4 linked regions of the Saccharomyces cerevisiae S288C genome follow. The gene in region 2 interacts genetically with the main gene of each other region. Each region holds a gene or a part of one and is shown on either strand. Other genes may lie near its edges. The genes, in order: CAT5, CST26, COX12 and KRE6.

Region 1 (7,728 bases), on a different chromosome or scaffold from region 2:
GAGAGGTGGTCATTGAAATTTTCTACCGTTTTTTGATATTCCAATACATATCTTCTTAGTGGCGCAATGGAAAAGTAATATTGTAATAAAGAATTTAGGTAACAGGTGTTCCCGATATTATTAATGCCAGTTGGCCAATTTTCTGGCGGCAAGGAATTTGGATCTATCGTACCAGTTAGTAAGAAGTTGGTGATTAAAGTTGAATTTCTTTCTATACTGATTTTGGTCAATGCTGCCCTCAAAATAAGAAATTGGTCAGGCTCATAAACGTTTTCATCAAACCACTTTTGTTTAAAGATTTTCAAAATGGTTTCGTCAGAGGCATTTTCATTCACTTGAAGAAGCTTCAATGCCTCTTGGTAATCAAGCTTCTCTGGACCATAATAGTTGGAAAACTGTGGGCATTCCTCTGTTAAAAAATTGAACAAATCAAGGCTTCTTTTACTGATAGCAATGGTGTAAAGTGCTCTATCACAATCCAACTTTAATCCGGGAGAGTCGTTAATCTTGACCGAATATGCAGTTTTTATAATGTCTTCATCAACAGACTCGTCAATTGAAAGTGTGTCGTATGCCTGGGATAAAGCTCTGTAGGGCTCATGATCGACGTAAAATTTTAGTTTGTCAGATTTGGTATATTTGGCCAACAATCTTAGAGCATTTTTCAAATTTGTTAGGTGATTAGAGGTTACTTGGCTCTTATTTGATGTTTCATATTTGTAAATAGATAGCAAAGTCGCCTCATTTAATTCGGAGATGTTACACTCTTTAGGGTTAATTTTAAACATTAACAAAGCATTTTCTAGAGCTTCTTGGCCTATAATGTCCTGTTTTCCACAGTAAGCAATCAATTGATATGCCCCCTTCCTATTTGCAATGTATGTCAGTGCGTCAAAATACAGCCCAATATTTTCAGGATCCAAAGAAGACAAAGATTCGTAGTTTCTGATTATATCTCTATCGGTATAATAATGCGAAACGGAAAGATTAATAAAATGAGGTTCTGCGTCCAAAGGCGAATGAGTTTGCTCATTGGAATTTAATAGAATCCTTGCTCTGGATTCTCCCAATAAATGGAACCAAGGTAGTGTTGAGAAAGAAGTTTGTAATGAAGACATTCCCTTTACGCTTTTCGTATTTTTCAAGGGAGAATTAGGTGCCAGTAATGAGGTAGATAGTTGACCCCAAAATATCAGTTGTAAACACTTCCTCACAAACGATTCTCGAATTTTTCTTGTCTCCAAATCGTTTACATAGTCCACCATATCTGGAGGGACGTATTCAGTAAATATCTCATTAGTTTCCTCATCGATTTCTGAGCTTGCTTGAAATCCATACTTGGACGTTAACCATTCAGGATTCAGGTGAGTGTTAAGGGCCAAATTTCCAGAATCAATTGTCTTTGTAGGTTCCGCTTTACTTTTCCTCGTCAAAGGCCCTTTAAAAATTTTAAAAAGTGTGTAAAAACAGTCAACTTGAGATGGCGTCTCGCTTTTATCTAGTGATTCATTTTTTACACACATAGCATTGTATCTCTTCTTAATTGCGTCGGCAGTAAAACTCTCATGCTCTTCAGGTGAATTAAACTCGGGTTTAAAAATTTCAATCAAGATCAGTTTGTTAGTATCATCAGAAACGTAAATACCGTAATCCAACAAATTAGGATCGGAAGAATCAAAAGTCGAAAGGTCTACTCGATCGTATTCGTGCAAATGATCTAGTGAGTGGAATTGAGTAACACCGACATGCTTCTTCAACCGCTCCAGTTCTTGGCGGACTTTTACGCTAACCTTAAGATGATAAATAGGAATTTTAACAATATCATCAAAAGTTGAAATTTGCTGTTCTGCCAGTGATGGATTAAAGATGACCGCCTGAAATACATGTATTTTATTATATTTTGGGCATGAAATGGAATCATACTCGGATTTTGTTTGAAAAACCACTTGATCAGTTAATGAACCCAAGCAGTTAGGGCGAATACTACTTCTGAAAGTTGAGTAAGAAAGCATAGACTCTTTTAAAATACCCCTCGATTGCAGGCCCTTTTGCATGACCTTCGGGTCTGTAGAATTGAGAAAAATAGTATCGCAAAGTATATCGTCCAAAAGTCTGTCAGAAGTCTTCAGTGGTAGGTTGGTGGCAATATCTGGATACAGTAAGTGTTTTCCATCGTCAACATCTCCAGGGGTAGACTGCTGGTTTATACTTGTCCCGTATAATGGGAGGTCTTCTATAACAGACCCATTTCTGTCAGCATTTTCTTTATCCTGGTTTAGTAGTTGATTATGATGGTTCTCAATTGCTTTTTGAAGTTCATTATCTTCGTTCGGCATTTCCTTATACCTTCTTAACCTTGAACAAAAGCTTTCTTTTTAATTACCACTTTATTATTAGCAGTGGCCCCGTTTTTATGCAATGTTCTTCCAATGGCAAGCCGCTTGTTTTTTTCAAGCTATATGTACTATAGTTTTGCTCTAATTAACTGTTACTCTTGTTAAAGATCCAGTTTGTACTCACCCTTAGACTATGAACCCATACCCCATTTACATAATTATAGACAGTGTATCTATTCCTGTCATATTGGTCATATAGCGTTAAAATGCGTAAGGATGATACATAATTTTATACATGATAGTTTAATTAGGACATTTATCAAACCGTTTTCCTTTCAATTCTCCTTTTCTGGCATAACGCGACTGATGTATGCCACTTTCTGGTGGTTAAATTCTTTCGGCACTCCATATAGCTACTCTGCAAATCGTTTTAATACCTTCAGTGATAACTGTATATGGAACTGCCATATACGAATCATGCTTGATAGCGGTGTCTAGATGCTCTAGCTCGTCATCCCTGAACTGTTGGATAGTAGAAGTTAAGGATTTGATTTCCTCACTTGGACCCTTTGTTCCATCTGTTCTTTCTAAATTGAATTGATTGGCCAAGTTTCGCAATTGGCCATTGTAGTGCCCTCCGATTACTGTCTCGACAGCTTCAGTACAAGCCATAGCTGCTTCTGGAGAAATCAATGCGGTACCAGCCCCCATTGCAAAGGCTCCTGCCTTCCACAAAGGCGTTAATAAGGAAGGCCTGACTCTCCTTTTCAATTGCAAATTGTTAAAAGTATTATGATGATGTATCTCCTGGTCCCATATGTGCTTTAGCACAGGTTTCAAGTGAGGGTACCTATGAGCCAACACGAAGTACTGGCCAGCGTAGATGTAGTCTGCACCTAATTCGCCAGCTTGATCTACACGAATAACACGGTCCAAAAATGCAGCCTGAGCATCTGATAAATTCTGACACTTGGGAGCATGCTCAGGTTTTTCGGTGTGTTTTGCTGATGTATGTTCTGTTATCTTTAAAGATGATAAGACGGAAAAGCCTCTGCTGGCAGGTTTGAAAACTGAAACACGGGATAACATAATTTCTATGTATCTCTCCCGTATACGTGATATCTTTATTCCTTGAATTGGTTTGGAGGAGAAGATAACGACGTTTTCACAAGAATAAAACTCTCGTCTGTAAAAATAAGGAAACATGTTTTATAGATTTCTATTGTTTTTTTTCCTGAAAATCCCGTATATGAAAAATTATACAGTTGCTTAAAAGTTAGGGAAATATAGACAGAGTACGTACAAAGGATTACTGCATTCAAGACATTATGTTAGATCCATCATCTAGCACATCTCTCCAATCTTTCAGTTTGTACTGCATGTTTTTGGGATGATATTGGGGGTAGAATGTCTCAATGACCTTCAATAATTCGTCATGAAAAATTTTGTACCCTTTTCCGGAAAAGTGCAGTCCATCTGTTAGCAGTTGTTGCCAAGCATCACCACCTTCCTGTTGAAACGCCTTATTCAAAGCCACGAAGGGAACTTTTTCCTCATTGGCTAGTTTTGCTAAGGCATCGGAATAAATGGCAAAGTTCTCGTTGGTACGGAAGTATCCGAGAGCTATTTCTTCAGATTTTTCTTTTTCCCACTTCTCTCTATCTACTAGCCCCGGTCCTATTATAATAGGACGGATATGGTAAGACTTCATCAAAGATACCATTTGACGAATATTATCGATAAATTCGGGGAGGGGGACACTTTGGGGACCTGCTGAGCATGCATCGTTGGCACCCAAAAATATTGTGGCCATGACAATATTGGATTCATGCTTTAAAATCTCAGGAAGTATTTTCAACGCCCATCTAGAAGTGTACCCTTTGAACCCTCTTTGAAGAATATCCATTTTTCTCGTATATTCGTTGACTAATGCGGCTCCAAGAGCATACTGATCTTTGCCATCTTCAATGGGCCTAGTATTAAAAGCAAATTCAGTAATGGAATCCCCAAATAACAGAAACTTCTCGTAATCCATATTTGGTCACAGTTTAAGCGTACGAACAGATGATAATGTAGAGGCTAGTTCTTGGTTTCGTATGTGTTACCACGATGAGAAGGTGTAAAGTGCCCTTATTATTGCGCGCTTTATGCCGTATTAGGAAAAATGAAAAAAAAAAAAAGGCAGTTCTCGAGTTTAGATTTGATATAATTAACGTGTGCTTTTCTCTATTGACCTTTGATGAGATTGTATCAGCCAACTGGCTAATTCATTGAACGTTTTCCAAGGGTAGGACTGCTCAAACAGACTAAATTTCTTTGCCAAATAGGGTGTTTTGAGTTTTGATCAGTCAACATTCTTGATCAATTCACAGTTGCTTAAAATAGAAAAAAAAATTGATCGGTATCACTAAAATTTTTAAGAAACTGAAAAGCACCACGGTTTTGACATTTATCTCTATTATAGCTTTTTGTACAAGACAAGGATAGCTGATTCAGGTACTAGTGGTGGAGAGAGCGGCATATTAAAATGGCATCAACTGCTCCCAATGAACAATTTCCATCCTGCGTACGATGCAAAGAATTTATTACCACGGGGCATGCATATGAGTTGGGTTGTGATAGATGGCACACACATTGTTTCGCTTGTTACAAATGTGAGAAACCATTAAGCTGCGAATCTGATTTTTTAGTCCTTGGAACAGGTGCTTTGATCTGCTTTGATTGTTCCGATTCTTGTAAAAATTGCGGTAAAAAGATTGATGATTTGGCCATAATACTGTCCTCTTCAAATGAGGCCTATTGTTCAGATTGTTTTAAATGCTGTAAATGTGGTGAAAATATTGCTGACCTACGGTACGCGAAAACCAAGCGAGGTTTATTCTGTTTAAGCTGTCACGAAAAGCTATTAGCCAAACGAAAATACTACGAAGAGAAGAAAAGGCGACTCAAAAAGAATTTACCAAGTTTACCCACACCTGTGATTGATAATGGCCATACTGATGAGGTCTCAGCTTCTGCAGTCCTCCCAGAAAAAACATTTAGCAGACCTGCATCACTAGTTAATGAGATTCCTTCAGGTTCTGAACCTTCCAAGGACATAGAAACCAATTCGAGTGATATTGTTCCGCATTTTATCACTGGGTATAACGATAGCGATGACAACTCTGGAAGTTCAAAATTCGGTTCAAATGTGTCCATAGATGTTATAGGACCGGAAGAAAATAGCACGGAGCATGTAAATGATGATGTTAAAGAGGAAGCAGAAGCACCTTCAGCGAATATGTCACTCAATGTTGCTACGGATCCAACCCTAAGTTGTAAAGAACCTCCTAGCCATTCGAGGAATTTGTTAAATAAAACACCGTTGAGAAATTCTTCGGGTCAGTATCTCGCAAAATCTCCAAGCTCCTATAGACAGGGAATAATTGTTAACGATAGTCTGGAAGAGAGCGATCAAATTGATCCTCCAAATAACAGTTCACGAAATGCAAGTGAATTGTTGACCTCGGTATTGCATAGCCCAGTTTCTGTTAATATGAAAAATCCGAAGGGTTCAAATACGGATATTTTCAACACCGGTGAAATATCCCAAATGGATCCTTCGCTATCAAGGAAAGTATTGAATAATATTGTCGAAGAAACAAACGCACTTCAAAGGCCAGTTGTTGAAGTTGTCAAGGAAGACAGAAGTGTTCCTGACCTAGCAGGTGTTCAGCAAGAGCAAGCAGAGAAATATTCCTATTCAAACAATAGTGGAAAAGGCAGAAAAATTTCAAGATCATTGTCACGAAGGTCCAAAGATTTGATGATTAATCTAAAATCCAGAGCCACAGGCAAACAGGATAGTAACGTTAAACTTTCACCTGCTTCTAAAGTGACATCTAGACGCTCACAAGATTTAATGAGGGATAATGATTCACATACCGGCCTTGACACACCAAATTCTAACAGCACTTCTTTAGATATTTTGGTGAATAATCAAAAAAGCCTAAACTATAAAAGATTTACCGATAATGGCACTCTTAGGGTGACTAGTGGAAAGGAAACCGCCCTTGAAGAACAGAAGAATCACAGTTTTAAATCTCCGTCACCAATTGATCATTTGTTACAATCGCCAGCTACACCAAGTAATGTATCCATGTATCGAACTCCGCCTTTAGATAGCTCATTGACATTTGATAGGCGGAATGGGTCTTCATACAGTAACCAAAATTATAGCATACCTAGTTGGCAGAAAACTCCAAAGACCCAATTGGAGAATAGCGACAATTTTGAGGAACAGAAGGAAACACTTTACGAAAATAGCGAATCTAGAAACGATCCCTCGCTTGATAAAGAAATTGTCACGGCAGAGCACTATCTGAAGCAATTAAAAATAAATTTGAAAGAACTTGAATCTCAAAGGGAAGAATTAATGAAAGAGATCACTGAAATGAAGTCTATGAAAGAGGCTCTACGCCGACATATTGAATCCTATAATAGCGAGAAAAATAAACTATATCTTGACTCCAATGAATTATCAAATAATCCACCGATGATAAATGAAATCAGCTTAGGTGAGTCGCCACCCGTGAAACATGTTGCAACTGCAAGTTCTGTAGCGCGAAGTTCTGTTAAACCAAAATTTTGGAAGTTTTTTTCATCTGCAAAGCCACAGACCGAGCAATCTATACAAGGTGTCAGTACAAATAATACAAATTCCATCGTTAAAAGTGCCCCAGTTTTGCTTTCTGCTCCCTCATCTGGTAGTAATTCCGGCCGTTTAGAAATTTCACCACCTGTGCTACAAAATCCTAATGAATTTAGTGACGTTAGATTAGTACCTATCGAGAACGATGCAAATATGGGACAAAGTAAAGATGGAGAAGAATATTTGGATGGAAGCAATTTGTATGGTTCAAGTCTCGTTGCTAGGTGCAATTATGAAAACAATGAAATACCGATGATACTATCTGTCTGCATAGATTTTATTGAATCAGACGAAGAAAATATGAGATCGGAGGGCATTTATAGAAAATCAGGTTCCCAGCTAGTCATAGAAGAAATAGAAAAGCAATTTTCTGCATGGAAAGTACAACAAAATACCGAAACGCCAAATATTTTAACGGAACAAGATCTCAACGTTGTTACTGGTGTGTTGAAGCGATACTTAAGAAAGCTCCCCAACCCTATCTTTACCTTTCAAATATACGAGCCGTTGATGAGGTTAGTTAAATCTAAAAAAATGATGGAAAACTTGCCATTTGTTGGAGGAAAGTTGTCCTTAGAAGCAAAGAATTCGGACACTTATATGTCGAGCAAGAGCGCTTTAAAAAACATATTGGAAGACCTTCCAAGGGAACATTATAGGGTGTTAAGAGTACTGAGTGAACATATAGAAAAGGTTACACGG
Region 2 (8,020 bases):
GATAATTAAGTAACAACAGAGAAAATATGAGCTTACCTAAACTCTAATCATTACCGTCTGTTTTATTTACTGTCACCTTGATGAGCGACTAAAAAGATAGAACGCGGGTTTTTCGCGCAATGTAACAAAGCTCCAGAAATTTTTTATAAATACTAATGTTATAGCAAAAAAAATAAGGACCTTAAAGTCGTAAACTAAATTGAAAAGCCCAAATCATTCAAATTCTATATCGTTGAACTTTTAATAGGCTGCGAATACCGACTATGTCTCCCATACAGGTTGTTGTCTTTGCCTTGTCAAGGATTTTCCTGCTATTATTCAGACTTATCAAGCTAATTATAACCCCTATCCAGAAATCACTGGGTTATCTATTTGGTAATTATTTTGATGAATTAGACCGTAAATATAGATACAAGGAGGATTGGTATATTATTCCTTACTTTTTGAAAAGCGTGTTTTGTTATATCATTGATGTGAGAAGACATAGGTTTCAAAACTGGTACTTATTTATTAAACAGGTCCAACAAAATGGTGACCATTTAGCGATTAGTTACACCCGTCCCATGGCCGAAAAGGGAGAATTTCAACTCGAAACCTTTACGTATATTGAAACTTATAACATAGTGTTGAGATTGTCTCATATTTTGCATTTTGATTATAACGTTCAGGCCGGTGACTACGTGGCAATCGATTGTACTAATAAACCTCTTTTCGTATTTTTATGGCTTTCTTTGTGGAACATTGGGGCTATTCCAGCTTTTTTAAACTATAATACTAAAGGCACTCCGCTGGTTCACTCCCTAAAGATTTCCAATATTACGCAGGTATTTATTGACCCTGATGCCAGTAATCCGATCAGAGAATCGGAAGAAGAAATCAAAAACGCACTTCCTGATGTTAAATTAAACTATCTTGAAGAACAAGACTTAATGCATGAACTTTTAAATTCGCAATCACCGGAATTCTTACAACAAGACAACGTTAGGACACCACTAGGCTTGACCGATTTTAAACCCTCTATGTTAATTTATACATCTGGAACCACTGGTTTGCCTAAATCCGCTATTATGTCTTGGAGAAAATCCTCCGTAGGTTGTCAAGTTTTTGGTCATGTTTTACATATGACTAATGAAAGCACTGTGTTCACAGCCATGCCATTGTTCCATTCAACTGCTGCCTTATTAGGTGCGTGCGCCATTCTATCTCACGGTGGTTGCCTTGCGTTATCGCATAAATTTTCTGCCAGTACATTTTGGAAGCAAGTTTATTTAACAGGAGCCACGCACATCCAATATGTCGGAGAAGTCTGTAGATACCTGTTACATACGCCAATTTCTAAGTATGAAAAGATGCATAAGGTGAAGGTTGCTTATGGTAACGGGCTGAGACCTGACATCTGGCAGGACTTCAGGAAGAGGTTCAACATAGAAGTTATTGGTGAATTCTATGCCGCAACTGAAGCTCCTTTTGCTACAACTACCTTCCAGAAAGGTGACTTTGGAATTGGCGCATGTAGGAACTATGGTACTATAATTCAATGGTTTTTGTCATTCCAACAAACATTGGTAAGGATGGACCCAAATGACGATTCCGTTATATATAGAAATTCCAAGGGTTTCTGCGAAGTGGCCCCTGTTGGCGAACCAGGAGAAATGTTAATGAGAATCTTTTTCCCTAAAAAACCAGAAACATCTTTTCAAGGTTATCTTGGTAATGCCAAGGAAACAAAGTCCAAAGTTGTGAGGGATGTCTTCAGACGTGGCGATGCTTGGTATAGATGTGGAGATTTATTAAAAGCGGACGAATATGGATTATGGTATTTCCTTGATAGAATGGGTGATACTTTCAGATGGAAATCTGAAAATGTTTCCACTACTGAAGTAGAAGATCAGTTGACGGCCAGTAACAAAGAACAATATGCACAAGTTCTAGTTGTTGGTATTAAAGTACCTAAATATGAAGGTAGAGCTGGTTTTGCAGTTATTAAACTAACTGACAACTCTCTTGACATCACTGCAAAGACCAAATTATTAAATGATTCCTTGAGCCGGTTAAATCTACCGTCTTATGCTATGCCCCTATTTGTTAAATTTGTTGATGAAATTAAAATGACAGATAATCATAAAATTTTGAAGAAGGTTTATAGAGAGCAAAAATTACCAAAGGGTTTGGATGGAAATGACACTATTTTTTGGCTCAAGAATTACAAGCGCTATGAAGTCTTGACCGCTGCTGATTGGGAAGCCATCGATGCACAAACAATTAAATTATGATTTGATGTTCCTGAATTAGGATAAAGTATTTTTCCTTGCACGAGAGTACGTATGTAAACGTAATATTGATAAAGAATCAAAAAAAGTTTTATATCTATCTATATATGTACCTAATAACATATGGAAAGGATTATTTAAATTCAAAAAATAAAACAATAAAGTTTATAAACTAACCAAATTATTGTTAGAGTTGGTAATATTAGCACTTCAGTTAACTCAATACGATTGATCTTGAAACTATCGGTAACTGAATGGTTTGTTTCAGGATCACTTACGAATGATCCAGTGGAATAGTACCTTTCCATTAGAGCATCCTTCTCACTCCAAATTTTATACAGCCATTCTGAAAATTCATTCTCGTCCTCTAATGGAATATCTTTAACATCAAATGCTCTGATGTGAATATCGACTAACTTCGGGTATTTTCCTTCTAAAAATATGCTCTTCAGCCCATATATAAGCTCACCATATTCCTCCTGTTTTACACCGGAGTAGCCGATCGTAATATCATAAAGACTTTCAATACTTGGCTTCAACTTTTGTAACGAGTATCTTAGGCCTGTAGAATGAGGCAGTAGCACATTCTTGAATGGCTTTTTGCCTATTTTGGCAGCATATTTAGCACTTTTTTGCCTAGTATCAGCACTGAGATTTGTACCTTCAGGGAATAGGATAAGATTGTATGGCCAATGGATTTGTTTTGGATCAATAACCTCCGGATTCCATATGCTCTCTCCTTCCTCAGTTATGCGCTCAGGTGACTTTCCAGCAAGTGAGCCGGCGCCCCTTGCATTCGAATCAAGGCCAGCAAGGCTGTTGCTTAGGGTTATTTTGTCTTGTGCCCACTTTCTACTCATAAAAATGAAATTATAGTTTCTCATACCGAAACCGAGGATAGGAATGGAAGCCAACGATTTTTTTAAAATAATGAAGACATTAGCCCCTAAGTTCGATGTGTAAGCCAACCACCATAAAAATATCCAATCCGTGTATATTTGGTGATTGCAAATGGCCACCGAATTGGACTTTAGATGAGAAAGAATCCTTTTCTTCTTCAAGTCTAAAAAAAAAGTACCTTTAGGAACACTGGAATTTTCAGTGGTAATTCTCACTGCAGATGGTGCGACAACATGCAAAATGGATGATACCAAGACAATAAATAATCTTTTGGTTTTATTGAGACCAATTTGTTTCCTTATATCATTTCTACAGTAAAGAGTCTTATAGGTGAGTTGGAGAAACAAAAGAATAAGGCATCCCTGGAAGAAAATCAATAAGGAAATACCTGGGACGACGACTTTTCGAACTTTATGAGCTATTTTTTGATGCAGCATCAGCTTATTGACCTCGCTAGCAATCTCAATACCAGTGGACCTGATATATCCTTTTTTTTTGTTGGCTAGTGTTCATTAATGATCTTTCGCGTTTATATTTCTTTTTCTGATGAGTTTTTCGCCTCTTGAGATGTTGTTGAACATTATTTAATAATACTTTTAGCACAATAACGATTTACCATAAACTAAAGTAAACTATGTATGTGCCACCCTATGAAAAGTCTACAATGAAAATATTTACGCTTCCGTCTTATTAACCGATATGATTAATCAATTTTGTCGTACAATTTTTGTAAATCGTAGTTCTCTCTCCAGTAATCACCGTGCTTTTTCAGTATTATAAGTACACTGCTAGCACCCAAGACGATAAAGGCCAGCATTGTGAAAGCCCACCCAGTTCCCATACCGTTTAACATGGGTGTGGTGACAAAGACTGCGGTTGCAGCCAAGATTTGCCTTATTAAATTATTCAAAGCAACACCGGTGGCACCCTTTCCCGGCAATGAATCGACTAAATAGGAAAGGGTAGCACCAATTGTCATCATAGCTGCATATCCAAAGAGGGCTGTTCCAATTAGTGGCGTTACCCAGTGGCATTTTTTATCTAGGCACCAGCCAAATATCAATAGCGCAATGGGGAAAGATATTACAGATGTAACAACATTCCACGATATACGAGCTTCAGGAGCAAGAATTCCATATTTCTCTTTGTATCTTTTTAAAAGCATGTCCACCCAACGTCCACCGTAAATTGAGGCGAAAAAGTATGTTACAGAATTCGGAATATACAGTAGACCAATGTATAATGGTTTAAAGTTGTAAGGAGGCCTTGAATATTTATATTCAACTGTCATATTAACAAAGTATACTGTGGAAAAGGAAATTGCGGAAAATGTTATTGCAAGTGCCACGGGTGGATATTCTAGGAAGTGCAATGATTTTAAAGGCTTGATAAAATAAACAAAAAAGGTGTCCCAGACCTTCCTCACCGCTGATACCTGTTTAGGAGCGATTTCACCTCCATTACTGGATAGCACTTTTTTGACTTGCTCTTCCAGGTTGGTTTGTAATTTTCTCAGACTATTTTCTCGAATCGATCTCGCTAACTTTGGATCTGTTGATCTTATTCTCGTAACTTGTGCTGTTGTTGCATCGATACCGCTATCATCTAGCTGATATTCATACAGACTTCTACTCGCCTCTGTATAAATCCGTTGCAATTGGGTTTCTCCAGCTCGACCATCATAAGTATTGGGGCTAGAGTGACTTTCTAAATCTAGCGAGTCTTGATCCCTTACCTCTCCAACGTAGTTATGCTTCTCAGTAGATAATGTGGCAACTTGGTTTTCAATTCGATCTGTCTCATCTTCTCCCCTCTGATAATCTTCTTGTATCTCTCCACGTTCGTTATTGTCTACTTGAATACGTCTTTCAGCCAAAATTTGAGCGATAGCGCCTTTAGAATCTTGTTTTCTTAATGTTTCAGGTAGTAACACCGTCAAAAGAATGACATTACATCCGGATAAAATAACCATAAACCATTGAGTGGATCTCCAGGGCCAGCGATTCACTAACAAAGATCCAAAAATTGGAGATAGTAGCGGCGCCAGTAGTGGACCCAAATAGTAATAACTCAAATTTTTACCTCTATCTTCGCTAATATATAAATCAGCCACTGTTCCAGCACCTACACTTTGAACACTGGCAGAAGCAGCCCCACAGAGCATTCTCAAGGCAATAAATGAGTTGATATCAGGAGCTAGAGCAGACCCGATATTAAATGCAAACAATAATGCAAATGAAGTTATGTAAGTAGTTCTTCTGCCCTCTAGCTCGGATAGAGAAGACCACCACAATGGGAAAACACCAAGACTTAAAAGGTACACACCAATTGAAACGTTTACCATAATCACTGATGTTTTAAATTCTGTTGTGATTGAGTTGATCGCTGGAAAAATGATAGATGTGCCCATGGGGCCCATCATGGAGGAAAACGCAATCAAGAAGACAATCATCTTTTTCATCATCGGTGGATAATCTCTGGCATCCTTGAACTCCGGTATAATGGCGAGTTGAGGCAATAGTCCCCTACGTTGATTCTTTGGAACAACGTATTCCTCACTCTTCAACCTACTTAGCTGGTTGTCTCTGTGTTCACGACTATTTGATGCCGTACTTTCCAGATTGGTCTTTTCGTAACTATAATCGTTGTGCTCGCTGTGCGGGCTGCCGCTGCTTTCATCGCAGTGCATCATAACATGATTGTTCGGTAGTGAATTGTCAGAGCAATTACTCCTCAAAGACCCTACATTCGATTGTGAACCTTGGGCTTGCATGTTTATCGCTTTCTGACTTCGGTCCTAGCATAGACGTTAACAAGTTAGAAAGATGTGAATACATATGCCTTCAACCCTGTTTTCTTTTAAGGATACAAGGACACAGCTATTACAACAAATTTTGTTGGTTTCTATCTTATCTAATCGATAATCTTTTAATATTTTAATCTAATCGCAGTTATCCAAAACTGGAATGAGATGGTTCAAATCCCCAAAGGTAGATGGAGTTACTGCTGAGGCGTGGAAAAACCCGAGTTTTTCCGAAGCCGCATATGAGAAATTGAGCAGGAATAATAGATATTTACGAAGAGGTAAAAGTGATAAAAGGCAGCGCCGTGGCAATATCTATTTACAATGACTCATTCTGACTATTTAAAAGTATGTAAGGGCTTTATCTAGGCTTTGTGCCGTTCAGGCTTTTTGTATACACATGTGATAATTGTATTACAGCTTGTAAGTAATTCAATGAACGTTTCTACACCGGCTAAACAAGAATCCATTTTGCTCCATGGCTCCAAGTTTCCATCCTTTACTGTGTTCACCGGTTCTGAATTTGGAGAAAACTTGGCCATTGGAAACGATTTTTCGTTTATAGCGCCTGCTATCAGGCTATTGATCTCATAATAGTTGTACCCATATGCATTCTTAAACGCCACTTCTGATGGGAGAATAACTGCTGATAAAACAGCATTGATGCCTACCTTAGTCATGAAATTGGGTTCATTTGCTTTCAGTTCATTCAAACCTGGAATTGCCTTCAGTAGGGAGATGCCGTAACCTGGGATGAAACCTTTGGCCAGCCCATGACATAGGACGTTATTTAAGCAATTATCTATTGCATTTCTTCTTCTGTCGATTTCGATTTCGTTATGTCCACCAATGCTTAAAGTGACCGTATTTTGGAGGAAGGATTTCGGAACTTTATTTGGAATCGCTTCAGCATCAATGGAGTTATATAAGAATGCCTCCCCTGTGGTCGCTTTTATGGATTCGATACTGCCGTAATATTTATCCGCACACATTTTGCTTGGCACTAAAGGACTATATTCTGGTGAGTAGATGCTGTCATATCCGCAAGGCAACCGTAAGAACTTTATAAAATCAAGATTCTCCTGTGGCGCTAAGTCATTGTTCGCCTTTTTAGAGTACTTCAAAACCACTATTCGGCTTTCATTATTTTCTCTCTTGTTTCTGTTATTGTTAATTGTAACGGATGTTAATGCATCACCTGTGCAATCTCCGTTAACGATTAAGAGAACAGATTTTCTCAACTTTCTTGCATACGTTATCGTGGGTAGAATTTTATTAGCGTCTCGTAACGTCCCATCATACATAAGAACTAGCATATCTTTATCAATGGAAACTAATTTCTTAGTAGGCAACTCCAGGGACCTTAAATAGGCTTCATTACTATCTAAAATACCAGCTGGATATTTCCAACCCTTGGATACATCAACCTCATCGTAAGTTTTGTTGCCGTTTATGACCCGCACAATGTCATCCGAAAACAATTCATAATTAATGGCTTTCAAAACCCTTTTGATGCTTTGGCTGTCTGAGGAGGACATAGTCAATTGCTCGACCAGAGCATCAACATCGTTTTGACTTTTCACTATAATCTTGTTCTTCGCAAGAAAATCTCTGATATATCGTAATCCGGCCTTGATCCCATTGGTCACTTCTTTTTCGGGATACTTGAAATAGTGCTCCAGTAAAGAGCATGTCAAAGATGTTGAAGTTGCTGTTAAGTTGTCCTGAATGCAATCCATGAATAATTGTAGACCAACCCTCCCCAGCTTTCGAGGCCTGTTTGATTGAAGTCGTGTGTTGGTAGCTTCATCTACTTGTAGGGAATCTAGTAACTCACGCATTACATTGTGAAGTCTCATGGTATCATGAGAACTAACGACCTGTGGCTTGGATTTATACTTAGGTTCATATATCAATGTTTTATTGTAGGAGGATGAAGTTATTATTTTTTCCAACAGCTTAATACCAGAGAGCGTATCTCTGAGAACCTGAAGGTTTTTTGTTCTATAGATTGGGGTGTGTAACGTTTTTACCGAACATTTCGTTT
Region 3 (7,231 bases), on a different chromosome or scaffold from region 2:
CTGCCATTATATTGCAAATTTGCCAGGGTCACAATGTCGTTTGCCTCTTGGGTATCAGATTGCATTTTTTCAATACTTTTGGAAAGAATTTTCATGATATCCGTATAATCAACGGATAGGATGTCTTTGACCCAGGTAGGTAGGAATTGAGAGGGAGCAAATATTTGAAAAGTGTTATACAAGAAGGTGAGTTCATCATCAGTGATCTGACGTACGGGTTTTCCGTTTACTGTCGGAATAATACCACCGAGATTCGAGTTTTGTAAAAATTTGATGTATGTTTTAACCCAATTTGGAAAATCATTAGGTGAGGTTAACATTGGTGGTGGTCTGACATATTTTTTAGTGGATGTCATATCAGAGTCCGCTGAGGATGAATCAGTAAATGTATTACCTGACTCAGGTGATGGAGTGCTCAGAGGCGTTCCAACTGATGATGGATACTGCGGAAACTGTGATTGTGGCCCAGGTGGAAAGTACATAGGCGACATTTGATAAGGTGTATACGGAATCATAGATGGGTGTCCGTAAAATGACCAACCAGATGGATTGGCTTGGTTTTGGGTCATCATGCACTGCTGTGGGTACGGCCCATTCTGTGGAGGTGGTACTGAAGCAGGTTGAGGAGAGGCATGATGGGGGTTCTCTGGAACAGCTGATGAAGCAGGTGTTGTTGTCTGTTGAGAGTTAGCCTTAGTGGAAGCCTTATCATATTCTTGAATTTTGGAAGCTGAAACGTCTAACGGATCTTGATTTGTGTGGACTTCCTTAGAAGTAACCGAAGCACAGGCGCTACCATGAGATATATGTGGGTAATTAGATAATTGTTGGGATTCCATTGTTGATAGAGGCTATAATATTAGGTATACAGAATATACTAGAAGTTCTCCTCGAGGATATAGGAATCCTCAAAATGGAATCTATATTTCTACATACTAATATTACGATTATTCCTCATTCCGTTTTATATGTTTATATTCATTGATCCTATTACATTATCAATCCTTGCGTTTCAGCTTCCTCTAACATCGATGACAGCTTCTCATAACTTATGTCATCATCTTAACACCGTATATGATAATATATTGATAATATAACTATTAGTTGATAGACGATAGTGGATTTTTATTCCAACACTTTCATACGTAACGGGGGTAATATTACTAGCTGTTAGAATAAGAGTCAACGATCATAATTGACTAGTAACGCAAATACTACTAAACAGATGATGTTTTAGAGTTTCATTCTAACAAATTGATAATGTAGTAGAATAATGAATGACAAAGTATAAAAGAAAGGAAGACAAAGTGATTTTATTATCAGAACTATCAACTCCCTTTCGTGAATTCCAAGACTGTTGAGGAGAACTTCTAGTATATTTTGTATACCTAATATCAACAACGAAATCCCAACAATTAATACGAAGTTCACCCATTTTCTGATAATTGTTACGTGCAAATAATAGAACTACTTTTGTCGAGGTGTAATCTCGTATTCAAACTATATAGTAAATTATTCTCAATGGTCGAGTAATGCAAGAAGATGATATTGAATACTTTGCGTAACTTTACCAATTATCCAATATGCAACAGTAAAATGATACCTTCACATTTCAAGCTAATTCCAAAATAATACATATTAGGTAAAATCCTCAATTTAATTGCCCGGTTTTACCTTCAGACATCGCTCCCTTTCCATTGACACATCTATACCCTTCAATGAACCCGCTATGTAATATCAACGCATCGTAAAAATAGAATAATAATGCAGTAGTACATATCCAGCCTAGCTGCAATCTAAATAGCTGTGATAGTCGGTGTAAATTAATAGTTTGGTCAGTTTTAAAAAAAAACCTAATTTTGGTACAAAAGTAGAAGCTGAAAGCAGTCATTGATACCAATAACAAATACTTTAGCTGAAACCATTTAGGATACTTTTTTCTGGCAGCACAGCTGGGACATACTACCTTCGAACATCTCTTTGGCTTTGTTTTATTTTCATTTTTAAAATGACCGTTCTTTCGATATAAAAAGAAAACTATAATAACGAGGGAAATTGTTACCGCCCCCAGAATCATATCTATGATCTTAATGATGATTGCTTTTGGGTACTTTTCAATCAAATTATCTACTGATGGCACCATAAAACAATTTATAAAATAAAGGCTACAAACGGCCTTTGTTAATTTTTCTATAATTAATAAGGAATTAGACTTTGGGATCTCATCTTGGCTTTCTGTCGCACTAAGTTCTGCCTCTTTCATTATTTCCTATACTTTGAAGGAGAAAGTAAACTTTAACGGCAAGTTCCTGTCTTAACTACCTTTTAGTTCTCGTGTGTTGTGAAGGGCCTTTGAGGAAAAACTCGAAAGTTTGTTCCGTACTTTTAAACTTTCAATTTTTTACCAAAAAGGCTATTTACCGCTTTATGGGAAGATCATGGCAAGTCAAATCCACGTTAAATGGAACAAGATTAACTTGCCACAGATCAAATGCTGAATTGAAGAGAAGTTTTAAGCATTAAGATTCTTAATATGATCATTAATATATCAGTACGTGTCTCAACTGGAATCGTATAAGGTTCTTGTAAGTACAAATTGTATGCAGAAATTTAAATGCGAGAACAAAACTTGAATCTCCCCCCGCATTTAAAAAATATCTTTTTGAACACAGTGCAACTGATTAAAAGTACCTGTAATACATATATATGTTTGTATACGTATGTATATCTAATTATTTCTTACCGTCAAATCATAATTATTTTTATCCGTTCGTAAAGCAATCCAGTGCTAAATACCAATTGTGAGGCCATCGGCTTAGTTTGGAACAGCAGTGTAGATACCGTCCTTGGATAGAGCGCTGGAGATAGCTGGTCTCAATCTGGTGGAGTACCATGGGACACCAGTGATGACTCTAGTGACTTGATCAGCGGGAATACCAGTCAACATAGTGGTGAAATCACCGTAGTTGAAAACAGCTTCAGCAATTTCAACTGGGTAAGTTTCAGTTGGATGAGCAGCTTGGAACATATAGTATTCAGCCAAATGAGCTCTGATATCTGAGACGTAGACACCTAATTCGACCAGGTTAACTCTTTCGTCAGAGGGAGATAAAGTAGTGGTGGCTGGGGCAGCAGCGACACCAGCAGCAATAGCAGCGACACCAGCAACAATTGAAGTTAGTTTGACCATTTTTTTCGATTGAACTTTTGTAGATCTTTTTAGTGAAGATGTGAGCTCACTCGAATGTAAATAACAATGCCAAATTGTCGGAAAGAGTTAATCAAAGCTGCTCTATTTATATGCCGTTTTTTAATAAGCGACGGACGAACAGATAAATTGTTGAATAGCTATTTCACTGCTGATATTTCTCTTACTTGGGCTCCCCTATCCCATACTCTTCACCACTACAAATATGCAGTTGCCCTTTCTTCAACAATGCTTTTTTTATAGATCTCGTATACGGATCCGCGCCTTTGTACTACCTATATCTTATTATGATATATACAGGAGCACAGGAATGTTCGGTACAGGGATGATACCTTTAAAGGAAGTTTTGGCATGCCTTGACAACTTCAATTAATCTTTGGCCAAGAAAATGAACCAGAAATCAAATTTTATTCTGTGCCCTCTGAACGAGGGCAATATCCAATGTTTGACACTAAACGGTTGTCAGGAGAAAAATTGAATGTTTCCCAAATCAGAAACATTAAAATCCCTCTATATGATCAGAGGAGTCGTACCTGTTAGGGTATGAGCGAGGAAACGTGATTGAGAGTTATAAACTGACCATACGAAGAGTTACGGCCATTGATTGGGTTCATGACACCCAGGGAAGTTTCTTTTGGATTAAAATCACAAGTCTTGCAATTGCTGTATGTATTGCATGAGTGAAGTAGTTGGCATCTAATGGATACCCACTTAGGGAGTTTATGGATGAATCTTGTCTTCATAGGGTAGCTCGAGAGTGTTTTTTAATCTAGTGATATCCACTTAGCTAAGCGCGGCTGGAGATACAATATTTACAAAGGCAATTTCAAAAGTAGGAGCGTTTTCAAAGGCCTGCTCCATTCTCCGTTGAGGTAGTAGAAGCAAATATAAACGGTTAATCTTGCTGTTTTCCTTGTTTTGTCTGTTGGTTTTCACTTGCTGAAGCCTGTGGTTCAACAGTACTCGGAGAATCGGCCTTATCTAGTCTCCTTCTGACCTGTAATGCGTAAAATTACGACAAACGTATTTCGTGAAACAATTGATAGGAAAATTGTCATTTGCTTGTTAAGGCAGTGCATTGAGGCTCTTTAAAGGTACTTTAGAAGTTTATGTTACTATCCTTCTAGCCTGATAGAACAATAAGTAAAGAATTGACATTCAGAAATCAGCCATCATTTCGTTTAGTAGTAGCAATCGCAAGTAGTGACTGTAAGAGATAGAAATGTGTACTTCAGTCTGGAACTGGGGCGCTTGTGAAGGATGTGTGCCGATCTCAGGCTGTTGATGAAGGTCTCTTCAAATACTATATTATTATCTTTTAGTAGGTCCCAGGAAGTGCCTTATTCTCAACATGTTCAGCGTTTATCTTTCTCAGCCTGAATGTATTTCAAACGATGACTAGAAGAGATTAGTACCCCTTATATAATCCTCGAAAATGTTGCTATCTCAGTGAATTGAAAGTTCATGCTGACGTCTTTATCAGCGTTATCCATTGCCTTGTTCTTTTCAGTGCAGTGGCAGATGTTACGAGGGTCAAATAATTTTTGAATATATATAGAAATGGCTACTTACTATAATTAAAAATAAATATGAAAAATAAAACTTCAGTACCCCACATCATTCTCATTTTTTTCTGTTTGTTTGATTTTTAGGAATTTGGCTCCATCATGAACATTCGTTAGCGTATGATATCACTTTTTCATTATCTCCTATTGTTACTTTACTTTTCATATAGATATCCTTCATCCCGTGTAGGTCTACTACGCAAAAATGAATTCTAGTAATTAATAATAATGATATAAAAAAGGCTAAGTGCACATTACTAAAAACGAAACTAAGATCCTTAGTCTGAGTTGATATCACCTGCGAAAATACCTTTTTCTCTTTGATCATCCCATTTTTCGATCCAGTCTAGGGGACATAAGGCGTTATAGGTCTTCCAAAAGACCTTGCACGGAGCAAAATCTTCGCCCTTCATATTAACACACTTGTGATAATCCACATAAGATTGCCAACAATGCTTTGTTTGGTTTTGTTGGGGAAATCTAGCATCGAAACCAACTGTATGTAGTGGAGAGTTTTCTTGATCAGCCATGTCTATTATACTGTATTTATGTGCTTGTTCCTATTTGTGAAAGCAAAGATACTTTATGTATTCTTACTAAAATATTTGTATATCTCTGCTAATCATTTTAATGCAACTTTTCTATCTGGTGCATCTTTCATCACCTTTTAAAGATCCTGAAGGGATGGGGATATCGGGCAAAACTACGCGCGACGCATTTCTGAAAATTGATTGGTCAATGTTATGAAGCTATATGGTAAAGAATACATGGTGTCATATAGATTTATTTGAATCTCTCGAGTGCTTTTTGAACCAATTGTGTGTTGTTTTCTCTGTCTAATTCCTTGAGTAAGCGTATTAATTGGAAACACATGTCCCACGAATCGGTAGCTTTAATTGGGTCTGTGGCGTTTGCAGCACTTGTCACCAAAAGCTCTAAGACTTTAAGCATTAATTCTTCATCCTTCAATAAATTAGTGACAGATTTCTCTGACTTTTTTGTAGAGTTATCATTTAGAGCTTTGCTTTCCTCAGTCCCTAAATCTGATTTCTTAAAATGTAGATCATCTCCCAAATCTTTCTCATCGTAATTTAAAAACACTAACAGAAGTACGCCAAGCATTTTAGCCTCATTTTCTTCGATACAGAGTGCTAATAAATCTCTTGGTGTCATCTTTAGATTAGTGAATAGATGGTTCCAGTATTTAGTTTCGATCTTCCTTAAACAATTACTAATAATTTCTAACATACCACTGTGGGTTGGTGGTGAAATATTATGCTCAGGATCGGTGTTGTCATACATCTTAATTAATTTCAGGATATCATCCAAAGAGTCGCTTCGCAGTATTTTAGTAGACAAAATCTTTTCGAGTGCAAATTTGTAAGGCTTTAAAAAACGATAATTGTGTGAAATATCCTCCAAATCTGTGTTGTCTTCTAATTTGGCTAAGATTAATTGGTCGAGGTATATTTGGTGTTTCACCACCAATTTGGAAAATCGCGCGTTAAAAATGCAGTGAAGTGTATGTGTTGTAGCTGTTTCTGGGGTGGTTGATATTGGATACAAATCTTCTTCGATTGGAATGGAAACTAGTGGCTTTTTATCATCCCATAAATCTTCCAAAGAGTATACGACGTAATTATGGCCTTGAACTACAAATATTTCGTCCCTGATAACATCGATTATTTTTTCTATGTTATCCAACAAAGTTAAGGTTTGCCAGCCCCCTCCATCCACTTTGCCAAGCTTTATAAATTTCCTATCGGCAAAAAATAACAAGCCCTCCTTCATGTTAATTATCCACTCAATTTTGTTGGGTAAAACATCAATTGGAATGTTAATTTTGAGATACTGGTAGAATTTTTTGATGATGTTTAATCCACATGGATGTACAGTAGAAATTACATCGAAGACAATTGTCTGTGTATCAGTAACTAAAATAATCTCGGCAGTTTTAAGCAATGCATCAGGTTGTTTTTCAGAAGCATTGTGATTCTTGGATTTCATTTTCAACAACTTATACCGGGATAAAGTATTAACATGTAAACTGAAAACAATCGTATTCTCTGGAACATTGTATTCCCACATGACATAATCTGATAGTTCCACGTCCGGATTCGCTTCTTGCAGTGGAATCTGCAGACATTTCAGATTTGTTGAGCCATCATCATTCTTCATATGACAAACCAAATAATTATCACCTAGCCAATGTAAATCCAACACGTTTTGGTCAGCAAAACTAGACCACATATTGGTCTCTAGATTGTGGATAAGCAGTATGTTTTTGTTCGACACATAAGTAGCAAATAACCTCAAGGAAGAATTAATTTTTACAAAAGCAATATGATTATTGAAAGTCTTTGTAGGAAGTTTTATGACTTGTAAATTATCATTATTGATTGAAGAACTTGTCACAGGTGAATATATGATTACATCATTGTTCGTATTGGTTAATACG
Region 4 (8,819 bases), on a different chromosome or scaffold from region 2:
ACCAAAGACGTTTAGCTGTTGACGCTTATATTCATGAATACGTTTAACTTGCATATCAAACAAGGTGTCGTCCAAATACTCTCTGTTAATGATGTCTACTCCATCATTTTCCTTTTTGATTAAATCTACTAATCTGATCTTATTATTAAGCTTGACTTGGTTCCATTTTTTCAAAAACTCCTTATCTTCAACATATTTTCCCAACTGGGTCAGTTTGGCCATGTCCAACAAATACTCCTCTGTTGGATCGTTAAGGGTTTCACTGATCAGTTTAGCCAATGAAGGGTTAGCTTGCTTCAACCATCTCCTTGGTGTGATACCGTTAGTGACATTGACAAACTTTGATGGACCATAGAACTTGACAAAATCTTTAAATATGGTCGTTTTGATTAATTCAGAGTGCAATTCAGCAACACCATTAACCTTGTGTGAACCAACAATAGCCAAAAAGGCCATTCTGATCTGTCTTTCTGGAGAGTTTTCTTCGATGATGGATATACGAGACAAAAGATCAACATCCTTGGGGAATTTTTTGGCCACATCTTGCAAGAAGAACCAGTTGATATCATATATAATTTCCAAATGTCTGGGTAGCAAATGGCCAAAGAGGCCGACGGGCCATTTTTCCAGGGCCTCTTGCATAACAGTGTGGTTAGTATAAGCAAAAGTCTTGGTCACGATGTCCCAAGCCTCGTGCCAATCTAGTTTTTCTAGATCGACCAAAACTCTCTGTAATTCAACGATGGCTAAAGTTGGATGAGTATCATTCAACTGAATAGCCACTTGGTCAGGAAATTCAGTCCATGGCCTCTTGGATTTTTTGAATCTTCTTAAGATGTCGTGTAAGGATGCAGCACACCAGAAGTACTGCTGTTTCAACCTCAACTCCTTACCTTGAGCAAAGTTATCGTTTGGATACAACACAGCGGTTATAGACTCTGCGCGTTGTTGCTGAGCCACAGAGTTTTTATAGTCACCATTATTGAATTTTGCAAAATCAAATTCTGTTGTTGGCCTTGCTTGCCATAGTCTTAAGTTATTTACATTGGAAGTCTTGAAACCCGGAACTGGGAAATCATACGCGACAGCAAGAACTCTTTCCCCACCGATCCATTGTGACGCACTCAGTGTAGTTTTACCGCCTTCTGGTCTATCAACATAACCATAAAAGGTGACAGGAATTTGCACTTCGTTACGTTCAATTTCCCATGGATTACCAGAATTTAACCAGTAATCTGGAGTTTCCACCTGGTAACCGTCAATAATCTTTTGAGCAAAGATACCATACTCATAACGTAGACCATAACCCCAGGCAGGGATGCCTTCCGTTGCCATTGAGTCGACGAAGCAAGCTGCAAGACGACCTAGACCACCATTACCTAAACCTGCGTCCGGTTCTTGGTCCAAGACATCCTCTAACTTGAAACCTAAATCATCCAAAGCCCCTTTAATCATTTCTCTTGGTTTTCCCTTTGAGGCAGCAGGGTCTTCCGGATCTTCAATCTTCATATTAATCAGGGCATTATCCAAAGCCCTACCCATCAAAAACTCCAAAGACAAATAGTAAACTCTCTTTGGGTCTCTTGTGGTGAATTTCTGCTGAGTTTTGTTCCAGTCAATGACCAAATTGTCACGAATACTCATCGAAGCAGCTTCATAAGCAGCCATGTCATCACAATTATATAGGGAACGTGCTAATGTAGTTTCCACATGGTCAATGAATCTATCTTGAAAATCTTCTGCCTTGTTAAATTTTTTGACTTGATGCTTATTCCATAACGCTCTTGACTTTAAAGGAATCATCGTGTCAATTGACTTGATTTCTTGGGGAAGAAACCCCGTAAGTCTCCTTGTAAGCCTTGGGATTTGGTGTGGAGAAGTAGGTTCTTCGGTTATCATATCATTGGTAGTACTAGTACTAGCTGGCGGCATTGTTCAAAATTAAATTAAGTTGAAAGCTGCTTTACTGAAATTGTAATGTAGAGAAGTCAAAAAAGATCCAATTGTTTTTCTTTTGGATATTTTTAGTAATCGTTACCTTCTCAATCTGTGCTTACTTTATATTACAATAGCAAGCAGAAAAAACTTATAATACTTCGTACGTAATCAAAACAAAAGGTACAACAAGAAACGGGAAGGCACAAAGAATCTTGCTTTACTGCTATACAAACTTCATGCTCCTTTTATACATATAATATATTCGTCGGTGTTCCTTCCTTATCTTTGTAGCATGCACATGGTAGTTATTAACCTCCCCTGAAACTTTTTTAGCGAAAATTATCCACCCCTTACTTATTTCCTCGAGAGTCTCTAAAAAGTAAAAATACAATAACGGTAATTGGGGAAGGCGTTCCTTGTTAATTCAAAATGTTATCCTTGAAACATAGAAGGTGCTGGCTGCATCTCGCAGAGCTTCCTCTTCCGTTGAGCGTTGTATTCTTCCCCCCACAGTGCTACTAGGCGATGCCGCTACCCCTTGAAGGGCCTTCCCGCTGTGGGGCAGCGGCCTTTTTTCCTTAGTGGGAAACAAGCACCGGGGTATATTTCATTGTCTATCAGGAGAAGAGATCGTATACAAATGTTCGTGAGACGGTTTCATCTTGACTAGTTGCCTTGCTAGTCGGATAACTAGTGGAAAGCAGTAGGACACTCCCGATGAGTTTGCGTTTCCACGGGGTTTGACAGAGCTACCTATTGTCTTTTTCATCGAAGGAAACGGTAGTTGGACCTTGCCTTGGATAAGTTGGTGAATCATCCAGAGCTTTAGAAGGGAGCAAAAAATAAAATCTGCGCAAGCCCGGAATCGAACCGGGGGCCCAACGATGGCAACGTTGGATTTTACCACTAAACCACTTGCGCTTGTTATTTACATGAGTGTGGTACTTCTATTGATGGTAGGTGTTCCATTACTTTTTTCGTCTTAAGATGAGCGAGCAAACACAGGGAGAAAATAAAGCGCAATTATTTACCTCATAGGGTACACAATATCCGTGAGAAAAGGATGAATTTGAAATAATTATACAGACTCCTTTTTTTTCAACGTAAAATTATAAGCATAGATTAGAGGCGCTCCTGGATAATAATAGGAACACACACAAGTAAATCAGCAATTTCTCATATCGTACTTATTCGGTAGAGTTAATAATATTCTACTAAAATAACTACTGGTAAGTAGTGAGAGCTTGATTTTTGTACTAATAACTTGTTTCAAAAAAAAAAACGAATAATCAGTTTTACAAAAATGTGTATACCTATATAAACAATCTTAGAGGTAAAGTTCTCCCTCACTAAAAATAATAAAAAATTACGTGCAGATGAGAACCCCGTCTTACCTTAGTATACCTTTAGTTCCCTTTATGACCCGATTTGAACGATAAGTCTTTTATATTTTATTTCTTCCTAAAAGAAAAATGTATGCATTGTAAGTAACTTTTTATGACCATGGTAATAATTAAAGCCGAGGGCTTGTAGATTTACCATCAAAATACCCGCTTAAGAGGATAACTTGAACTTCGAGCTAGTACATTTACCAGTTAGGATATTCTTAGGGAACGTGTAACCAGCATCTTCCCAAGTAGTTAAGTTTGCATTCTGGAATGCATTTAAGTGCGATTGAATATAATCATATGTTGGATAGTCACTTGGATCGCATGTCACGGATATAGCATTACTTGGTTGGTATATTCTAACATAGTCAATCGACATAACCACTGGGAAGAAAATATACTGCCAATCAATATAAGCCCAATTGTTGGAAATACCCAGATTTAGAATAATCGACATTGGTTCTTTACTGATTCTTCTCCAACCAATATTACCATCAGGATGTAAGGCTTTAGCATGAATAGTATAAGTTGGAGTATCACCAACAAACCAACGGATATAACCATTGTCGTCATCGTTCAGATACTCAATGGCATATTTTTGAAAGTAGCCACCGTACTCACCGAATTCATACCAAGTTACGTTCAAAGTTGAGACAGCAGATACGGCTTGTTGAAATGGACCGCCAGCATAAGTGTTCATGGTCGTTGTTGTGAAATTGTAAACCTCGATAAAATCATAGTCAGGCATGTACCAGATATCAAAAGGTGCAATTTGCAAGGATTGAGAGGCTATACCTACACCAATCTTAGTATCAGTTTCACCTTCCAAAACATCAATTTCTGGAGCTCCTCTACCAACACCTTGATTCGGATGATCTTCACCATCACAAGTACAAATACTTAACTTTTGTCCCGGCAAGTAAGAAATACCATCCGGGGAACTTTGGTTGGGTGTAATACCAGCATCACACGATTCATAAGAATAAGGCCAGACACCTTGGGTACTAGCCAAATAACCGGGCCTCCCTAAATTACCCATAGTCCAAAGACCGGGCCACAAACCTGAAACACGGCCATAATTTGGTAGATTTGCAGAGATTTCTAGAGCACCCTGCGTGAAACAAACCTTATTCCAACTCTGCAACATACCTGATCTGTAATATAAGCCATGGTTCTTAAAGGCATCCATTCTCAGCTGCAAGGTTCCGTTCACAGTTGTGGAAGCGTCTGGACTGTACCATTCTAAATCCTTAGTAGCATCATAGTGAACATCAGGGGCTGTCCAGTATGGATCATCCCCATCATAAAATGTTCTGCCTTCTGCATTAAACTCATCAGAAAATACTAATTCCCACTTAGAGCCATCCATAGCTTCTCTTGTCTTCGCTGTATCAGGTGTGTCTGGGTCAACCAGAGATGTTCTAATGGCGGATAGTTGAGGATATTGGTATTGAGTTAAATATGTAACTTCTTCAGTGTTGCTTTCGTGATCAATAGCACCGGTAAAGGTCAACGCTGGCAAAACAATAAAAATAAAGATGGCTGCCAGAAACAAGAGCAATACACCAGCTAGCCCACTAGCAGACCTTTTATCCATGTACTTGAAGTCATCTATGAACCTCCTTCTATCCAGTCTTGCCTCTTCTTCGGGGTCAGGATTGTGTAAATAATCATCTTCTTCCTTTTCATCTATCATAAGTGGGAACGATGAAGCAGGATACCCACCAAATGGAGAAAAATCTTGCTCGCCCAAAAACGGATTAGAAGAGAATGAGGCGGACGACTCGTTTCCTGGAGATGATGTTGGCGAGCGACCATGATGGTTCAGTTGAGTCATAGAAGTGACTCTGGAACCCACTAAGGGATATCTATCAAATTCTGGCGGTGAGAGAATATCATTCTTCGATAAATTAGAATTCAAAGAAGGAGAAGAGGCTATAGCTCTATGTGGTGGCTGAAGAAATGAGTTATCATTAGCCGTACTCACAGCTCTACTATTGTTCCTGGAATAGTAACCTTTGTAATCAGATACACCTTTATTTTGACTTAGATCTAGACGAGAATTGTCATGAAGTAGTGAAGAGTCACTCCCCTGTGGCTGATAATGAACAGAAGAAGACAGAGATTCTCCATCCCGCGCATTAGATTCTTCGTCACTCCCCATAAAAGGGTTTGTGAGACCAGCATTATCGTTGGTGCTATTGTCATTTTGTTGTCCAAAAGAAGGAGATGAGGAAAGAGGAGCACCATCATGATCGTCGCCTGTACCATCTGTGTCCAGGTTTGTGCTACTAAAGTTGTGCGTTTCAGTTAGATTTCTCAAAGGCATTAGAGTAAAGGAGTGAGTGGTATACCTATTCTGTAAACTTTAGATGATTTAACGAGAGAAATGTTGTGCAACTACTAACTTGCCTTAGTAGAAAAATTCTAACAACAATATATTTATAGACGATAAAGTAATGAACACTAGTACGAGAGGACGAATACAATAACAATATGCAGCTTTCTCGAGCACTTGCAGCAATACGAAAGCTTTGGACTGAAAATAAAAAAAGAAGAAAACGTTAGTGATTCTTAAGTGCTTCTGTAAGCTAAAAATATTTTAACGGTTGTTGTTTTCGACGTTCCTAGTTAAATTTTATCAGAAGCTGTTTTATTCTGTGTTTTCACCAAAAATAGCGTTAACTTTCATCTGATCAGGAATATGAAAAAAAAAAAAAAACTGTCCAAATAGAGCGTATGTGATCTGAAGTCTAGAATTTACCGCTTCAGGATGATTCTTTGGCGTTTTGCGGGTAAAACGCCTTTCAGATCGCGTCACACTTGCAGGCTGAGAGGAAAAAGAAAAGAGGGGAATGAAAATCACTAAGCCACAAAAACAATAAAGATAATTTTATACGAAATATACATTTTGTATTCCATAATCAAAAATTAAAATGGACGAGTCCGGAATCGAACCGGAGACCTCTCCCATGCTAAGGGAGCGCGCTACCGACTACGCCACACGCCCGAATCTTGTTGTAAATTGTTGTATTACGGGCTCGAGTAATACCGGAGTGTCTTGACAATCCTAATATAAACAGTCTTAGGGAAGTAACCAGTTGTCAAAACAGTTTATCAGATTAATTCACGGAATGTTACTTATCTTATATATTATATAAAATATGAATCATACTAAGTGGTGGAAGCGCGGAATCTCGGATCTAAACTAATTGTTCAGGCATTTATACTTTTGGGTAGTTCAGCTAGGGAAGGACGGGTTTTGTCTCATGTTGTTCGTTTTGTTATAAGGTTGTTTCATATGTGTTTTATGAACGTTCAGGATGACGTATTGTCATACTGACATATCTCATTTTGTGTTGGAATAAAAATCCACTATCGTCTATCAACTAATAGTTATATTATCAATATATTATCATATACGGTGTTAAGATGATGACATAAGTTATGAGAAGCTGTCATCGATGTTAGAGGAAGCTGAAACGCAAGGATTGATAATGTAATAGGATCAATGAATATAAACATATAAAACGGAATGAGGAATAATCGTAATATTAGTATGTAGAAATATAGATTCCATTTTGAGGATTCCTATATCCTCGAGGAGAACTTCTAGTATATTCTGTATACCTAATATTATAGCCTTTATCAACAATGGAATCCCAACAATTATCTAATTATTCACCCATTTCTCATGGTAGCGCCTGTGCTTCGGTTACTTCTAAGGAAGTCCACACAAATCAAGATCCGTTAGACGTTTCAGCTTCCAAAACAGAAGAATGTGAGAAGGCTTCTACTAAGGCTAACTCTCAACAGACAACAACACCTGCTTCATCAGCTGTTCCAGAGAACCCCCATCATGCCTCTCCTCAACCTGCTTCAGTACCACCTCCACAGAATGGGCCGTACCCACAGCAGTGCATGATGACCCAAAACCAAGCCAATCCATCTGGTTGGTCATTTTACGGACACCCATCTATGATTCCGTATACACCTTATCAAATGTCGCCTATGTACTTTCCACCTGGGCCACAATCACAGTTTCCGCAGTATCCATCATCAGTTGGAACGCCTCTGAGCACTCCATCACCTGAGTCAGGTAATACATTTACTGATTCATCCTCAGCAGACTCTGATATGACATCCACTAAAAAATATGTCAGACCACCACCAATGTTAACCTCACCTAATGACTTTCCAAATTGGGTTAAAACATACATCAAATTTTTACAAAACTCGAATCTCGGTGGTATTATTCCGACAGTAAACGGAAAACCCGTACGTCAGATCACTGATGATGAACTCACCTTCTTGTATAACACTTTTCAAATATTTGCTCCCTCTCAATTCCTACCTACCTGGGTCAAAGACATCCTATCCGTTGATTATACGGATATCATGAAAATTCTTTCCAAAAGTATTGAAAAAATGCAATCTGATACCCAAGAGGCAAACGACATTGTGACCCTGGCAAATTTGCAATATAATGGCAGTACACCTGCAGATGCATTTGAAACAAAAGTCACAAACATTATCGACAGACTGAACAATAATGGCATTCATATCAATAACAAGGTCGCATGCCAATTAATTATGAGAGGTCTATCTGGCGAATATAAATTTTTACGCTACACACGTCATCGACATCTAAATATGACAGTCGCTGAACTGTTCTTAGATATCCATGCTATTTATGAAGAACAACAGGGATCGAGAAACAGCAAACCTAATTACAGGAGAAATCTGAGTGATGAGAAGAATGATTCTCGCAGCTATACGAATACAACCAAACCCAAAGTTATAGCTCGGAATCCTCAAAAAACAAATAATTCGAAATCGAAAACAGCCAGGGCTCACAATGTATCCACATCTAATAACTCTCCCAGCACGGACAACGATTCCATCAGTAAATCAACTACTGAACCGATTCAATTGAACAATAAGCACGACCTTCACCTTAGGCCAGGAACTTACTGAATCTACGGTAAATCACACTAATCATTCTGATGATGAACTCCCTGGACACCTCCTTCTCGATTCAGGAGCATCACGAACCCTTATAAGATCTGCTCATCACATACACTCAGCATCATCTAATCCTGACATAAACGTAGTTGATGCTCAAAAAAGAAATATACCAATTAACGCTATTGGTGACCTACAATTTCACTTCCAGGACAACACCAAAACATCAATAAAGGTATTGCACACTCCTAACATAGCCTATGACTTACTCAGTTTGAATGAATTGGCTGCAGTAGATATCACAGCATGCTTTACCAAAAACGTCTTAGAACGATCTGACGGCACTGTACTTGCACCTATCGTACAATATGGAGACTTTTACTGGGTATCTAAAAGGTACTTGCTTCCATCAAATATCTCCGTACCCACCATCAATAATGTCCATACAAGTGAAAGTACACGCAAATATCCTTATCCTTTCATTCATCGAATGCTTGCGCATGCCAATGCACAGACAATTCGATACTC

Evidence for each region.
Region 1: mutations in CST26 (region 2) and CAT5 together harm fitness more than expected from each alone (negative genetic interaction), as found in Saccharomyces cerevisiae (2 studies listed by BioGRID).
Region 3: mutations in CST26 (region 2) and COX12 together harm fitness more than expected from each alone (negative genetic interaction), as found in Saccharomyces cerevisiae (one large-scale study listed by BioGRID).
Region 4: mutations in CST26 (region 2) and KRE6 are lethal when combined (synthetic lethality), as found in Saccharomyces cerevisiae (one large-scale study listed by BioGRID).

The regions. Positions count from the first base shown.
Region 1 is NC_001147.6:556,307-564,034, forward strand, and holds CAT5 (putative monooxygenase CAT5), read right to left. Parts: upstream 3,426-7,728; coding exon 2,724-3,425; downstream 1-2,723. Other genes in the region: ubiquitin-specific protease UBP2, read right to left, coding at 1-2,336; IAH1 (isoamyl acetate-hydrolyzing esterase), read right to left, coding at 3,655-4,371; GTPase-activating protein RGA1, read left to right, coding at 4,864-7,728. UniProt on the Saccharomyces cerevisiae protein: Catalyzes the hydroxylation of 2-hexaprenyl-3-methyl-6-methoxy-1,4-benzoquinol (DMQH2) during ubiquinone biosynthesis.
Region 2 is NC_001134.8:318,003-326,022, forward strand, and holds CST26 (putative acyltransferase), read right to left. Parts: upstream 3,608-8,020; coding exon 2,414-3,607; downstream 1-2,413. Other genes in the region: long-chain fatty acid transporter FAT1, read left to right, coding at 264-2,273; QDR3 (Qdr3p), read right to left, coding at 3,874-5,943; TCM62 (Tcm62p), read right to left, coding at 6,339-8,020. UniProt on the Saccharomyces cerevisiae protein: Acyltransferase with lysophosphatidic acid acyltransferase (LPAAT) activity. Fatty acyl substrates include 18:0-acyl-CoA, 16:0-acyl-CoA, 17:0-acyl-CoA and 14:0-acyl-CoA.
Region 3 is NC_001144.5:219,870-227,100, forward strand, and holds COX12 (cytochrome c oxidase subunit VIb), read right to left. Parts: upstream 5,304-7,231; coding exon 5,052-5,303; downstream 1-5,051. Other genes in the region: YLR036C (uncharacterized protein), read right to left, coding at 1,652-2,263; seripauperin PAU23, read right to left, coding at 2,816-3,190; RIC1 (Ric1p), read right to left, coding at 5,557-7,231. UniProt on the Saccharomyces cerevisiae protein: Component of the cytochrome c oxidase, the last enzyme in the mitochondrial electron transport chain which drives oxidative phosphorylation.
Region 4 is NC_001148.4:854,419-863,237, reverse strand, and holds KRE6 (beta-glucan synthesis-associated protein KRE6), read right to left. Parts: upstream 5,656-8,819; coding exon 3,493-5,655; downstream 1-3,492. Other genes in the region: GPH1 (glycogen phosphorylase), read right to left, coding at 1-1,932; YPR159C-A (uncharacterized protein), read left to right, coding at 2,823-2,924; YPR158C-C (gag protein), read left to right, coding at 6,981-8,303. UniProt on the Saccharomyces cerevisiae protein: Involved in the synthesis of (1->6)- and (1->3)-beta-D-glucan polymers of the yeast cell wall in vivo. It is required for full activity of beta-glucan synthase in vitro.